Danio rerio: one gene and its partner. The protein of the gene in region 1 interacts with the protein of each later gene in a pairwise test. Links are inferred from orthologs where the notes say so. Each region holds a gene or a part of one and is shown in the gene's direction. Other genes may lie near its edges.

The links. The genes of interacting proteins can lie anywhere in the genome.
Region 2: the proteins of rab11bb (region 1) and rab11fip2 interact in binary tests that used the Homo sapiens proteins (3 or more experiments, as listed by UniProt). The link is inferred for Danio rerio from reciprocal best matches to the Homo sapiens genes RAB11B and RAB11FIP2.

Annotation. Positions count from the first base shown.
Region 1 is NC_133177.1:59,799,926-59,802,248, forward strand, and holds the end of rab11bb (RAB11B, member RAS oncogene family, b), read left to right. Parts: intron 1-797; coding exon 798-878; intron 879-1,242; coding exon 1,243-1,388; 3' UTR 1,389-1,703; downstream 1,704-2,323. UniProt on the Homo sapiens protein: The small GTPases Rab are key regulators of intracellular membrane trafficking, from the formation of transport vesicles to their fusion with membranes.
Region 2 is NC_133188.1:22,756,322-22,760,424, reverse strand, and holds the start of rab11fip2 (rab11 family-interacting protein 2), read left to right. Parts: upstream 1-1,300; 5' UTR 1,301-1,496; intron 1,497-3,763; 5' UTR 3,764-4,016; coding exon 4,017-4,103. UniProt on the Homo sapiens protein: A Rab11 effector binding preferentially phosphatidylinositol 3,4,5-trisphosphate (PtdInsP3) and phosphatidic acid (PA) and acting in the regulation of the transport of vesicles from the endosomal recycling compartment (ERC) to the plasma membrane.

The DNA of each region.
Region 1 (2,323 bases):
TATGGTAACAACAACTGTAGTCATTTATCTGTGCTAGTAATTCTATAGTCCCTATGGTAACAACAACTGTAGTAATTAATCTGTGGTAGTAAATCTATAGTCGCTATGGTAACACATCTGTAGTAATTGATCTATGAAAGTAATTCTTTTGTTGCTATGGTAATGCAACAACTGTAGTAATTGATCTGTGGTATTAATTATTTTGTTGCTATGGTAACAACAACTATAGTACTTGATCTGTGGTAGTAATTCCATAGGCCCTATGGTAACACAACAACTGTAGTAATTGATCTGTGGTAGTAATTCTGTAGTTGCTATGGTAACACAACAACTGTAGTAATTGATCTGTGGTAGTAATTCTGTAGTTGCTATGGTAACACAACACCTAAAGTAAATGATCTGTGATAGTAATTCTATAGTCGCCATGGTAACACAAAAACTGTGTTAATTGATCTGTGGTAGTAATTCTTTTGTTGCTATGATAACAAAACAACTGTAGTAATTGATCTGTGGTAGTAATTCTATAGTCTCCATGGTAACACAACAACTGTAGTAATTGATCTGTTATAGTAATTCTTCTGTTGCTATGAGAACAAAACAACTATAGTAATTAATTTGAGGTAGTACTTCTATAGTCGCTATGGTAACACAACACCTAAAGTAAATGATCTGTGATAGTAATTCTATAGTCGCCATGGTAACACAACAACTAAAGTATTTGATCCGTGGTAGTAATTCTCGCGTTGGTAACAGAACCACTATAGTAATATAAACAAACGCCCTCTGCTTGCTTACAGAGAAGAATAACCTGTCATTCATCGAGACGTCAGCTCTGGACTCAACTAATGTTGAAGAGGCCTTCAAAAACATCCTAACAGGTACAAACACATCCTGTAATCAGATTTTAGAACGAGGCTCGTCCAATCAGATTTTATTATGAGGCTTATCCAACCAGCTTTTTAGAACAAGACTTATCCAATCAGGTTTTGTAACAAGTCACGTGTAATATTGTGCGCATATAAATGATGAAAACTTATTACCGGGAACAATGTATTTTGTGAACTAACGACATAAACGATTGAGCATACTATGAAATAATAAACTTTTTATTTTGACCATATGATATATACTGTCATGTTGCACAGCCTCAGGCTCAGCCAATCAGATTTTAAAATGAATGTCTCCAATGTTTTGTTGATCACTAACTGATCAGATAATCCCCTGCTTTCTTTGTTTGTGCAGAAATCTACCGTATCGTATCACAGAAGCAGATAGCGGAGCGGTCGGCCCATGACGAGTCTCCCGGAAATAACGTTGTGGACATCAGTGTCCCGCCCACCACAGACGGACAGAAGAGCAACAAACTGCAGTGCTGCCAAAACCTGTAACCACGTCGACCAGCCCTCACCTGTCAGTCATCTCCGGGTCCCTCATCACGTCCCGCCGCTCATCTTCTCACTTTTATTTCTGTAATATATACATGTATAAATATATTTGTTTTTTGACCACACACACACAGTATCTAACTGCGCTGACAGTGCTTTACTTTAATAAAGTCCAAATCAGGTTTTTCTGTGTGAATGCAACGGAATATTCCACAATACTACACAGATTAAAATGAACCCTTTTTATTCTCCTAAAACATCTGGTAAATCTGGTGTGCTTGTCATGTTTTACTCTAATTAAAAGTCTTTGTTTTTTCATTAAGAAAGCAAGTGCCTTTTGTATGCCTTTCCACCTTCAGTATTTAAAAAAAACAACAATTTGATATATTTATGTATACCATTTACACAGTGTTGGGGGTAACACATTACAAGTAATGCGAGTTACATAATAGGACTTTTAAGTAATGAGTGAAAAGTACTTTTAAAAGATGAGTAATAATAAAATTAGTTTCTTTAAAAAAAAAAAAAAAAAAAAAAAAGTTACAAATAATTAGCTTAAAAAAAAAATTGCTGAATATAAAGGAGTCACAATGTAACGTGGAGACTGACACGGAGGGATCCATTATGCAGTATTTATTAATCACACTTACTCAAACATACAATATGCACAAAGGTGCAAACACACATCGACAGTAGCAGTAAAGGTATCAAGGCTGGCGGCTGACAGACACAGAGTGAATTACCAGGCAAGGGTCAGAGGCAGGCGGCGTGATTCAGAGTCCGTGTATCAGGCTTGGGTCGTGGGCAGGCAGAAGGCAAAGCAGAGTCAGAAACGGGCTGGAGTAATGCACAGGAGATCAGGCAGGATGTAACACTCAGTAATGCTGGCCGGGGCTGAAACAAGACTTCGCAGTGAACTGGAGTTTGAGTGTGGCTTA
Region 2 (4,103 bases), on another chromosome or scaffold:
TAAGGAAAAAGTTTGAGCTCCCCCGTTTTAAGTAGTTTTAACATTATAATGATGGAAAATTTCATCCATATTTTGCCATTTAGTTGTTACTAAAGTAATTTGGAAAATAATTAAAGTCTGCAGTTAGTTGATCAAAAACACAATAAATTAATTGTAATATTGTATTTTTTTTTTCTTTTTTTTCTTTCCTGGGGTGACACGGTGGCTCAGTGTTTAGCACTGTCACCTCATGACAAGAAGGTCGCTGGTTCGAGTCCCGGCTGTCCAGTTGTCGATTTTGTGTGGAGTTTGCATGTTCTCCCCATGTTCGTGTGAGATTCCTCCTGCTGCTCCAGTTTCCCCCACAGTCTAAAGCCACACGCTATAGGTGGATTGAATAAACTAAATTGGCTGTAGTGTATTAGTGTATCTGAGTGTGTATGGGTGTTTCTCAGTACTGGGTTGCAGGGCATCCGCTGTTTAAAACATATGCTGGATAAGTCAGCGGTTCATTTCGCTGTGGTGACCCCTGATGAATAAAGGGACCAAGCCGAAGGAAAATTATTGAATGAATGAAATTTTTTTTTTAATTAAGATAAATTGTCATTTTAGAATAAATGTAATTAATTCATGTGATTCAGAGATGAATATCAACACCCCAATGTCACATTATTATAATTTCTCAAAATATTTTAATAATCAAGGGCACATTAAATAAATCAAAATTGCCATTAAACCTATATACTGTAATGTTTCAAAATATTGTATATGAAATTATCACTGTTATTTTAAACATTGTATTTATAAAAGTACCATGAAAAACATAAAATGGAACATTTAAAAGAAAATGTTCCAACATAATGATACTTCAGTGTTTTCGTTTTGTTATATTTTGGAGTAGCCTAAATGCAGACTTGGTGAGCAGAAGAGAGCTCAAAACATAAAATAATAATAATAATAATAATAATATATATATATATATATATATATATATATATATATATATATATATATATATATATATATATATATATATATATATATATATATATATATATATATATATATATATACATATTAATAAAAATATAAAGGACCATTTTAGTATTTTCAATTTTCCTAAACATTTGACTGGCAATATTATACAATGCATTACAACATTTGTCCTTTTTTAAATTCTTGACCTGGTTGAAAGCAAAAGCAAAAGCGCACTGCTGAAAATAATGCTCCTCAGCCCAGTCACCGGAATCCCGGGAACAGCGCTGATCAAATCCATGGCAACAGAGGAGGAGTCTACACTTCGACCCATGACCGCATCGGCGGAAATGAGGAAGCAGGAAGTCGAGAGCAGGGCTGATGTGGAATACCACACATTTGTTTAAGATGAATTAGTGTCGATTAGAGTAAGTTATTAATTTACATTTACCGCAGATGTGGAGAACTGAAAGGGTTTCACTGTAGCGCTCTTCACACGTGCTGTGGTGTCGCTCGCTGTGCTCGAGAAAGATGCTTCACAGGTAAATATCAGAGCATTGTGCTGAATGGGTGTTTGACAGCACCACTGAGACTGGGCAATGCAGCTAGCCGAGCATCACTGGTGCTTTTCTATCATATCCGATCAATTAAATAAGAGGAGACCGCATGGAGGGAACCATGAAGAAGATGATGATGATGATGATCATCATCTTCATGTGGTGGTAAAAAAAAAATCCTTAGTATAAAAGTGACATAAAAGTAAATAAATTATGTAGCTGTTATAATTTGCCAGTTCTTTAAATGTTATATTACAGACACTAAAAAAACTTGCACTACTAAGCTACGTTACTAATAGTTGTTTACAGATGGCTGTCACACATTTAGCGTTATTTTTCTGAAATTATGTATTTTTTACTTAATATTTTTACTATATGCTATATATGTTTTACTAGTATATACTTCTGTGTGTATACTGTATGTGGCAACATAATTTAAGTCTATTTGATTTTTACAAATTTATGTGCACACTGTGGGGAAATAAATTTTATTTGATTTATTAATTGCTATATAGTCTCAGATTTACGTATGTTGTGTTGCCTATTATGTCTCACTTGTTTGTTAGAAGTACTCTGCTTTTTCTTATGTTATTCTTGTGTTTTATTTATTTGTTTACTTGTCAGGGGTTTTATTAATTTGGGGGCCCTAAGCAATTTCAGCCCAACATTCCTAAAATGCATTAAATGAAATTACATATTTTCAGCTACTGAAAATTCAATACATCTCCAACATGAGCACACTTTAGATTCTCGTTGTATAGGGCTGAGCGATATGTCAATATTGCAATCTCAAATATTTTTCATATTGACTAATAACGATATATATTTTGATATAAGTTGTTAATGCTTCCTGTTTTAAAGAGTATCCCAACAATGACTGAAGCCACAAAGATTAGACGCTTCATTAAATTATATTTTAAAGTATTATTAATTAACAAAAACAGTTGACACATTATGCAATTTTTTTTGGAGATTCCAATGTTGTATAATATACTTATGATATACAATGTGAAATATAATATTTTGAAGAACTGTCGTTGACATAGAGTACACAAACAAAGATACTTATTGCATTTTCTAAAAATGAACAATTACAGATTTTTTTTTTTTTTAAATAAATGTTTTACTTAATTGAAATTGTAAAAATATACATCATTAAAATAAGCAACAGTTTAAGAGCTAATACTGCTAGTGGGAAAGTTAATCAAGCTCGATAAACAATACTGAGTGAGGTTGCATTTCCCTAATATCAACACAATTACAGATTCCTGTTGTTGCATATGTGTGCTGTAGGCATGAGCCGGTATAAGATTCTGATGGTATGATAACCTTGGATATATCAGGGTATCATGGTGTTGTGCTCACTGCTCTAAAATTTATTCTTTTTAACTGTCTGGGTAAAAAAAAAAAAAAAAAAAAAAAAAAAAACTAGAACTTTTTTCTCCTTTTGAACACAATATATACTTTTGTTTTAAAAATGTTTCAGAGCAGTAAACTGTCAGGGTAAATAATTTAAATGAATCATTGACTTCTGCTGTCTTCATTAGTTTCAAAAACACAGATTTCTTTACAATTTAAAACAGCAAAATTTAATGGACATTTTTAACTGCTGGAGAAACTGTTGTCCTAAAAAACAAAACAAAAAATGTAAAGTAAAAATCTTACACATACCTAAGAATGGTAATACAAAAAATGTTGCCAGTTTTAAAACCTTGACTTTTTCAAACCGCAGTATACCTTGAAAATGATTATCATCCCATGCCTAGCTGTGTGACTGGCTCTTTGCATTGATCAATATTGAGTAAAAATTTCCAGAGCTTATTATTGTTATTGACATACATTTTATCATGATTAGATATGATATTGTTTATTGCCTGAGCTCTATTGTTGCACATTTCTGCTGTGTGATTGGCTCTTAGGTCGATATAGAGTAAAAAAACCCCCAGAGATTATCATTGTTATTGACATAAATTCTATCTTAATTCAATATAATATCATTGTACTTTTATTTATTTTCTGTTGATTTATTTTGGTGTTTTTTTGTCTCTCTCTTTCTGTTTTACCTTAATGCAATCTCTACATTGTAAATGGTTTACTTAACATGAATCCAATACTAATTGTACAATATAGTTGTAGAAATATAAATAAAGTAATATTTATTTTATCATGAATTAACATTATATTGAAAAATATAAGTCAAATGCACTATTGTTTTTTTCACACTGTTTTCTGTCTTTTGTCTTTGTTTATAGGTGACCTAAGTTGAAGCGGGGTGAATGTGGAGTGTTTGCGGAGTGTAACAAAATCATTACCTGCTCCATTAATAGATGTGACTGTAATGCTAAATATGCTCTTCACTTGCCCTTGAACAACTTTCGTTTGTATTACCTCTCAGTCGCTCATTTCTTGTTGATTGGAAGCTAAAGGAAAAATGGAAAGGCCAAACTAAAGTTCTACACTTCATCACTTCACACCAAAGTCCATAATTTTACACTTGAATTCATCATGTCATTGGGCGAACAGTCGCAAAAGTGGTTTCCAACCCATGTCCAAGCCACTGTTCTCCAAGCCACAGACCTGCAACCAAAGGGC